Linked DNA regions of Schizosaccharomyces pombe. The protein of the gene in region 1 interacts with the protein of each later gene in a biochemical or structural test. Each region holds a gene or a part of one and is shown on either strand. Other genes may lie near its edges.

Region 1 (5,541 bases):
TAATAGTCATATATGACATTTCTATCAATTCAAATACGAGCGTCATTCCATTTTTTCACATAACGAAATGAATGCACAACTTACCTGTGGAAATGAATTAACGATGAGCAGACTTTGGGACTGCATATGATGAAACATAATAACAATTCAAGATAATATTTGAAATTAAATAAAGCTATTCACCGTTATTCCCTAAATGCGAAGTATCTAATGTGCAGTTTTACCTTTAATGTAATGGTTAGGTATTGAAACAGTAGTAGAAACGTGACATAAGGGATGCGTCGCAAAGCAGTCAACTCCTTTGTCGGATTATCAGAAGATGATTAAAATTCATTCTTTGATAATTGCATTAAGCTCCAACGCAGGTCTAAATTTTTTTTACTAAGAAATGGTAGCTCCTTAGTTCGGGCAATTTTTATCCAACAAGACGTTTCTGCAGTGGACGTTCTATTACCTTTTGGTAACGCGACAAATACAAAAAAAAAGAAACAGAAATTATAATCCTAATTACAAATTTGCAATCATGTATATATACTTTCCGCTACTTCAATTTAGAACAATACTAGAACATTTCTAATCTAAAAAATACGAATTTAACATAATCGAAATAGAAAAATAAATGTATCGGGCGCTGAATTTCAACAATCCAGTTTGTTTTATTAATAGCAAAGAACTGGAAATCAAGCATTAGTACATAAAAATTGTAGTCATTTAACTTCAAGTCATTTAAGCGGTCATTTCAATGTCCTCCGTATTTTTTTTTAAAATAACAATACCTTCCAACGAAGTCAAAGGTGTATATGCTTCCGTCGCTAGTTCAGCTCGCTCATTGTGATGCAACAAAACTGGTGTAGTATGTGTGACCCAACCCGTAATGACCTTGGGACGACCAGCTTGACCGACCACATCTACTGCTTGACCAACTCGAACGCTTACTGGTAAATATTGACCGTCCTCACCAAGGGTAATGAGCATTCGGGGTCGTATTGCTAACGTAATAGCATAAAGCAACCAATGCGAGGTATCAAGGACAAAGGTATTTGCATCTAGCATAGCTAATACAACAGTCATAAGACCAGCAAAAGCAGTTTGACCAAGAATCTGCCGTTCTGTATGATAAGGGTTAAGCGTCATTGTTCCTTTTCCTAAGTAAAGTAAACCTTGAGCGATACGAACCATGAATAGAGCGTTGGATTCTTTGTGATAATAACTGGCTAGTTGGCGGAGTAATTGAGCCAAACGCGCATTACTAGTACCAGCACCAACAAGACCCATTGCAAAGATTGCGTTGTAAGCAACATCCAAATCATTATCGTGACTATAGCGTGAAAGCGTGTCAAATATACGCATTTGAGGATTGGAAGCGGAAAGCAATCCTAATGCAAGTGGTATAGCTTTTCGAATAGAGGGTTCGCCATAATGCATCATGTGATCGAAATGTCTCAAAACCATTTCTGCTCCAATATCTTCACCCATAGCTATAGTAGCAACACCAAGTGCTGCAAATGTCTGGATAGTAGTCTCACTCTCCTTAGCATCATCACTGGGAGGTTCACTACAGATATGAAGCAATTTTTGGATGTGAAGAACGTTGCCAGTTCCAGCATACGAGCAAATATCCACCAAAATTTCAGCTTGTCGTGCAATTTTACCCTCAATAGCTTTCAGTGTTTCGACTGTAGCATCCGCAAGGTCTTGTTTACCATTAAAAAGAAGGGCAAGGCCAAGAGCCATAAAACGGCCCCATTGATCATTTTGGGCAGACTCTTCACGCTCCATTAGAGTTTGTAAAATTGTGCTAGCTACATCGCCGTTGCAAGTACCAACAAAAATAAGACCTAAAGATAATGCGGCTAAGCAGGATAATTGCATAGGGCAATCGGTATCCGTAACAATTGGAGATAACATGTCGAGTAAATCTTCGCGATTAGCTCCACTGTATGCAAGTCCTAAACCTAAAATCGCTGATGCACGAAGCTTTACGGAGCCAGTTTCAAGGTATTCAGAAAGAATTGCCATAGCTGGATCAGCTTCATTTCTTACTGCAACATTTGTAACACCAATTCCCAACAATGCACCAGCCTTGGTATTCTCCTCAGAAGAGTATAAATACTTATCCAACAAAGACAATCCCATGTCAACATTCCATAATTGTAATAGGCCAATAGAAGCTGTAGCACTTATTAAACCAGATTCTTTATTTTTATAAATCCAAGACGTTTTTTCGTCATCGACCAAAATTAATCTGTCGTTACTGTATCCGGCATTGACAAGGGCATTGACAAAAGTGTTAGCTAAATTTTGTTTGGCGGAATACACTCCTGATGCACCCAATCCAGTCCTAGCCACTTCTAAATGTGTTTTAAAGATATCTTCCGGAACTTTAGGATCCATAAGGTTCAACTCCTTTCCTAGATAATGAAAGTGATCAGATAAATGAGTGTTATTTAAAGCATCGTTTAACTCCTCGTCTCCCATATCCATAGGTATTTGCTGACGAGCAAGCATGTAAGACATTTGCTTTTTCAACAAGGGATCCGTAGCAGCTTCACAGTCTTCTTTTATCAAAGACATATCATCAAGGCGGATAGCAACGTTAAGTGCTTGTGTAAGCTGGTCAAACTTCCGATAAATAGCATGCGCTGTTCTTAACATGGCGACATCTTCAGGAAATGGCAAAAGATTAACGCAACTGGTAATATAAAGACAAACGCGAGAAGCATTATCAAGTTCTACGAAGGGTACAACTTTTTCAATAGCACCCAATTCTTGTAATAAATCAATAGCATCAGCCTCAGCATTATGAGTAAGGAAGAATGGAACAATGGTCAATGCAAGTTCCATAAGATCGTCGGTTGGCGCTTCCTCTTCCTGGCGACTGGCAAACTCTTCTTCTATTTCGGAAGCCAAATGGCGAACATACTCATGACCCCATAAAGAAGGATCAGTGGTAACGCCCTGAAGACGATATTTTAATGATTCATGTTTGCTTGTATTACTATAGGACATTCCTAATACTGAAAGGATATCAGCAAGTTGAGTCTTCTGAGGGCTTTGCGGCCAGGAATCATAGATTTTAACGAGAGTAAAATAATGTGGTCTAAGAAACTTCAAAGGCTTTGGAACGGCCGTCATAGAGGAGGTAGAAGTACGAATTATTTCTTTAAGCTGAGTGAGACTGGAACCCACCAACTCAGGGGTGGCATCTTGAACAGCTTGAACTAATAATTCCAAATCATTTTTTAATTGTAAATCTTCTTCAGACTATTTGGTTAGTTTTCATTTTGAAAAATAATAGGGCTTTAACTTACTAAATCCTCTAATTCATCCCTTTCTTTGGTATTGTTCGTTGAGTTTCTGTCATTAGTTTCTGAAGTCTTTGTCCCTTTTTTGTCATTTAATGCATCATTACCACTCGGGGACTTCGAACTAATGTCTTTAGAACTCATTTTCTAGATTCCTAAGATTTTCTGAAACTGAGTAGTAATGTGTTGTCGTTGAAACTACTCTCACCCTAGTCAGAACCAGTATACCGATTGTTTACGTATTTGATTATTTATCACGTTAATTAGATTTAACAACACGCTATGCTTTCTTTATGGATCAGTACAAATGAAAAAATAATCTATTATTTAAGTTCGTCAATGTATTACCATTATTACACGATGCTTGACATTATTATCTCATGCCTCTTTTCTTATAAGAATTGTTGTAAAATAACTCGTTATTGATTGACTCTTTATGTTTTCATTTGTTTAAATACGGACATATGAAACCGATTTATATCACTACACCTAATTACCATAGTTATAGCTTGATTTTTAATAACATGACACGCTCTAAGATTTTGAATTCTAAAATTAAAGGCTGTAATGGTCAAAGAATTTTCGAGTTTAAATTAACAAAAAAATGCAAATGATAAAATAATGAAAACAAACGAATAGTTTTATATAGTACATCCATAAACGTTGCCGACTAATTTTCCATCTTACACACATGAACACCATAAAAGCTTGTATAAGTATACTAAACCAGTATAGGCAAATTCAATGCCAACCGCGGGATCGAGTTGTATCAGTAAAAGATTCATTGCTTTCACTTCCTTGAAACATTGTACGTAAATGATAATAATTTTCATGAGTTTCATGGTCTTCCACTGAATCTTCATTAATCATAGAAACAGATTGATCTAACATGGAATTCCAATTTTTATTTTGTTTCAATTCTGCTGCACCTCGTATTTCGTCCAAAGATAAACGATGTTCCGCCGAATTACCAAGTGCCTTTAAAGAAGGATAATAAGATTCAGCATCCATAAAGTAATGAGGTTTTAATTTAGAGATAAAAGACGACTTTCTTACTCTCACCGGCGGCATGTCCATCGGCAATTTTGCTGATGCATCAATTTCTTCGTTCGGTGAATAATCTCTGAAGGATTCTGTTTCATAAGCCATAAGACCTTGTTTCTGCCGTCTAAGGCTACCTGAAAGAATCGTAGCTATCCGATCGTCATAATCTTCCGATGTAATATCTAATTTTGGATCAACGGCGACATCAGGCTGAATTAACTCTTCATCCCTATCTTCAGCGAAGAAGACATCGAGGCTATGAAGAGTTGTAACTAGCTCTCCTAGTGAATTTTCGTCAAGCGAACCATGACTGTCAGTAGGAACGTGTCGCGGATAATTGGATACTTCATCAGCATGAAATCTAACCTCTGGCGTACTCACAGAAGCCTCGGTAGTGGAACAGCTATAAAATACGGCATGTACGTTGCTTTTAGTTATAGCAGCTGCATATTCAGAGTTTGGTTCATACCATCCATCCTCGTCAGGTATTTCAAAAAATCCAGCCAGACGATCATCTGAATTTTTTAATTTAGGGTCAACCATTAATAACTTTAAGGTTTGCATATCTGTGGGAGCAGATACATGAAGCACTGAGTCGGTTAGCAAAGACAACGCTTCCATTGCATAACCAGTAGGTAAGAGTCGAAGAAGCGGTGAAACAATACCTAATCCATGTTCGGAATATATAGGTTTTTGGAAATCAATTAATGGAAAGAGTTCTTTTAACACATCTAACGTAGACTTTCTAAACCAAGTCAAATTATTTGATAGAAACATCGTAAGAGTACTAACAATTTCTAGCTCGTAATCTTCAAAATAATAGGAGTATAGGTATGAAACCGTATGTTTTAAAAAATCCTTAATTGACCTGAATTTACGTTTGAGATATGTGTCAAGAAGCTCAATCAATGCATCATCGTTAAATTGTGAAGCAAGAGTAGCTAATTTATGACAGAAAACACTTAAATCAAAAGTAATAGGATCTGAATGCTCGTATGTATATACCATCGCTGGTAATGACACCAACAAGCAGGATAGTATCCTCAAATAACCAACGCCAACCAAATCATTATCCTTGAAATCCATCAGCAAAAGGAAAAAATTCATGGTAATTTCAAAAGAATTAGTTGAACGGAAACCTTTTAATATTAAAATCTGAAGACCTTGGTAATCTCCAACCCAGTTTTGGGGA
Region 2 (4,017 bases), 1.7 Mb from region 1:
TAGAGATATGTCTGATTGGTATGTCCGAATTACCTACAATTCAACCCCTGTAGTGATGGGTGCATGTCGAGGTCAAGGATACAAAGGCAATGATACGATCTGTCCTCTTTCTATATTTAAGGATACAGTCCGTGCATTAAAGCCTGTTGAATATCACACTATGTGTAAACCGGTGAAAAAGTAATTATTTGATTGATTAGTTTACGTCTTTTGTGTATTATAAAGGCGTTTTGTTGCACACGTTAGAATTAAATTTCTTAATATAATCAGAAAACTGTGTCACTGAAATTGTGAATGCGATCGATTGAAGAAAATAAAAAAAAAGAGGTATCGGAGAGGTATTTTCTATGGACACGTTTTGTTTGCTTTGCTTATTTTACGCTCTTTTTTTTAAAAAATCCAAAATTTAAACCGACAAGGAATGCACGAAGTTAATAAAATACGTATGATGATATAATAAATTTTATGGACATCTATAGTTACTCTATAAAACTTAATGATAACTTAATAATCATGCATACAATACTTCTCTACAGGATTAAATAATAATAGTGAAGATGGAAATACAGATATTCGTAGAAACTAAACAGGAACTGGAAATTATTTAGTCAATGGCAAGTATGGATAAAAAGAAGTATTGCCATTATGCGAGTAAAACTAGTCATAACCAAAGTTGGACTTAGATATAAAGACCACCAGCAGGTCCACCTTCGTCCTTCGTTTTTAAAACCTTTTCACGAGCTTGCCGAAAGTCGTCCATAACAACTCGCATTCGGCGTTCACGCAGAGCAAGCAAACCAGCTTCAGAAACGATTGCTTTAATTTCTGCACCAGATAAATCATCTTTGCATTGAATTAACTCTTCTAAATTAACATCCTCGCCCAAATTCATCTTGGAAGTGTGAATGGTAAAAATTTTACGTTTCGTAGCTTCATCAGGATTCTCGAAAAGAATTTTGCGGTCAATACGACCTGGACGAATAAGAGCCGGATCAAGATCGCTGATACGGTTAGTAGCCATAATAACCTTAATATCACGCTGACTCGTATCGAATCCATCCAACTGATTGAGTAACTCAAGCATAGTACGTTGAATTTCTCGTTCAGCACCCGACTGGGCATCGTAACGCTTTGTACCTATAGCATCAATTTCATCAATAAAAACAATAGAGGGCGAATGTTCTTCGGCAGCATTAAATAATTGTCTCACAAGACGGGGACCATCACCTAAATATTTTTGAATAAGTTCAGAACCAACGACACGCAAGAACGTAGCAGAAGTTTGATTAGCAACAGCTTTCGCTAGTAAAGTTTTACCAGTACCGGGAGCACCATATAAAATGACACCTTTAGGGGGTTTTATGCCCATTTCCTCATAGAGTTCAGGATGGGTAAGAGGAAGCTCTACAGCCTCTTTGATCTCTTGAATTTGAGATTCAAGACCACCAATATCGGCATAACTTTCTGTAGGTGCTTTGTCGAGTTTCATAACATTAATCATTGGATCGGTATCATCAAGAAGTAAGCCTACTATACTCATGGCTTTGTGATGGAGAAGTACACTGCAACCAGGCTCTAACATGTCTTTATCGACAAATGACATGATGGAAACATAGTACTCTGGTCCAGCTGTGGAAACGATGGCATGATCGTCGTCTATAATTTCCTCTAAAGTTCCTACAGACATTGGAGTACCACGAATTTCATCTACACGATTGCGTTCTTCCTGAGTTCGTTCATCCTGTGGCTTAAGACGTTCCTGGTTTTGCACATACTCTTCTTCCATAAGCAAATGATCGTGGATTCTTTGCATTTTTAACAACCTTAAACGACAACGAGTCGTTGGGATAACAGTAGGTAGTTTTGCCGATGCATCAGGACCACTTTGAGCCTTCTTCTTACGACGACCAGTTCGAGTGGGAACTGGAGGTTCGTATTTGGGCTTATCTTTCTTTTGGTCTTTTTTATTGTCGCCGTTGGCACCATCGCCGAAATTAGAAAAATTCCCAGATTGTGCTTGTCCCTATAGGAGAGTTAGGATTAAATATTAAAACATGAAAAGAATGTGATAGAGTGAAAACAAGACTATTCAGCGATAGATGAAAAAATTACATTTAATTCAGTCTTGTTTTCAGCCTCAAAATACTCAAATACTTACCATTTTTTGGATCGATACTCTCAGTGAAAGTGATCTGGTATTGGTAATATCTAGCTTCACTCGTTTTCCACCACGACACTATGCAAGCAACCGGTGGCTCAAGGCACTCTAACATATTGCGTAACATAGTATTGCGATATTGTAATTTTTGAATAGTGTATGGTAAAAACACATCCTAATTTTCTTGAGTTGTTTACATTTCGAACACGAAAATGTATCTACTGTTACCAACGCGTGAATCAACCATTCCATTTCAAGAGACCTCACTTTAAGTAAATTTTCCTCAATATAAAGTGTTGTAGAAGTAATAATGGTTTAAAAAAGGTTAAACAATTGCCATCGATTTTTATTAAAAGGAGTACGGATCTCTTTTCGTGCATTCGTCGTGTTTCTTGTTAGAACATAGACTTTGCTAAAGTGATTTAACCTTGCATCTATCTTTTACTTAGGAATCATTGCTAAAGAATATTTATCCCAATTCAAACAACACACATTCCTCTCAAAATTACATAGCATAAAATTATATAAGCTATAAAGTATTTTACTAGGTGTCTACGGCCATACCTAGGCGAAAACACCAGTTCCCGTCCGATCACTGCAGTTAAGCGTCTGAGGGCCTCGTTAGTACTATGGTTGGAGACAACATGGGAATCCGGGGTGCTGTAGGCTTCATTTCGTTTTTTTTCTTAATAAAAGTCCTCCATATGAATAGAATTATTGTTCTATAACTTACTTCTGCAACCTTTTACAGCAACAACAGTGAAAGCTATAGAAGCAGCTACTAAAGACAGTCTGATGACTTAAACAGTGTTCGAAGGTCTAAATTGACTTATTCAAGTTATGATTATTGAATGACTTCTTGTTATTGAAAAATATTTTCTACAAGTCTAACAGCTATTTTACAATTTTTATTGTTGTTAATGTTAATTTATTAACTACCTTAATTACTTACGATAAATATTGGTAATTAACGAGTTACTGTTTACTAGTTGCTAAACTACGTTGCGATTACAAAACTATAGCTTTCGCTATGCTACTTTAATGTTTTTTCGGAACAGCTCTACAAGTGAACGATAACGAAAGAAACAATAAACGTCGTTATCTAATTTTGACATCTTACAGCTTCGGATTATGTTATCGATCGGTAAGCAGATACATTGAACCACGTGGTTTTCTCATGATAAGAACGTATATATATTAGCAGGATTCGATTGATTGCGAGCCTGTGAAGAGCCTTTAACCAATCTCCCAGAAATAACTTTGGGAAGAATATTGATTTCGACGATGTTGGCCAGGAATTTGCGTTGTTTGCATCCAAATACATTTGCATCGTTAAAAACCAACGTTTCCTACCATGGAGTAAAATGCTTGGCAAGTCAGAGCAAGCGTGGATTCAAGGTTTGGGCAGATGTACCTATGGGACCACCGGATCCCATCTTTGGTATTACAGAGGCCTATAAAAAGGATGGAGATGTTAAGAAAATGAACTTGGGTGCTGGTACATATCGTGATGATGCCGGAAAGCCTTATGTTCTGCCCAGTGTTCGTCAGGCAGAAACTGAGCTGTTGAGTCAGAAACTCGACAAAGAATATGCACCCATCACAGGAATTCCCAGTTTCCGTGTGCAAGCAACAAAATTGGCTTATGGCGATGTTTACGAGTCTATAAAGGATAGGCTGGTTTCTGCTCAATCCATTAGTGGTACCGGTGCCTTGTGTATAGCAGCTAATTTCCTTGCTTCATTTTATCCATCAAAGACTATTTACGTATCTGACCCTACTTGGGGAAATCACAAGAATGTATTTTCTCGAGCTGGCTTGACCGTTAAGTCCTACAAGTATTATGATCCTGCTACTCG

The links.
Region 2: the proteins of mts4 (region 1) and rpt2 form a complex in vitro, tested with the Schizosaccharomyces pombe proteins (one study listed by BioGRID).

What each region holds. Positions count from the first base shown.
Region 1 is NC_003423.3:2,850,604-2,856,144, forward strand, and holds mts4 (19S proteasome regulatory subunit Rpn1/Mts4), read right to left. Parts: upstream 3,500-5,541; 5' UTR 3,450-3,499; coding exon 3,312-3,449; exon of another isoform or gene 3,265-3,311; coding exon 727-3,264; 3' UTR 518-726; downstream 1-517. Other genes in the region: morphogenesis protein Mor2, read right to left, coding at 4,047-5,541. UniProt on the Schizosaccharomyces pombe protein: Acts as a regulatory subunit of the 26 proteasome which is involved in the ATP-dependent degradation of ubiquitinated proteins.
Region 2 is NC_003423.3:1,197,219-1,201,235, forward strand, and holds rpt2 (19S proteasome base subcomplex ATPase subunit Rpt2), read right to left. Parts: upstream 2,211-4,017; 5' UTR 2,162-2,210; coding exon 2,159-2,161; exon of another isoform or gene 2,158-2,158; intron 2,024-2,157; coding exon 680-2,023; 3' UTR 560-679; downstream 1-559. Other genes in the region: SPOM_SPBC4.06 (acid phosphatase), read left to right, coding at 1-184; aspartate aminotransferase Maa1, read left to right, coding at 3,443-4,017. UniProt on the Schizosaccharomyces pombe protein: The 26S proteasome is involved in the ATP-dependent degradation of ubiquitinated proteins. The regulatory (or ATPase) complex confers ATP dependency and substrate specificity to the 26S complex.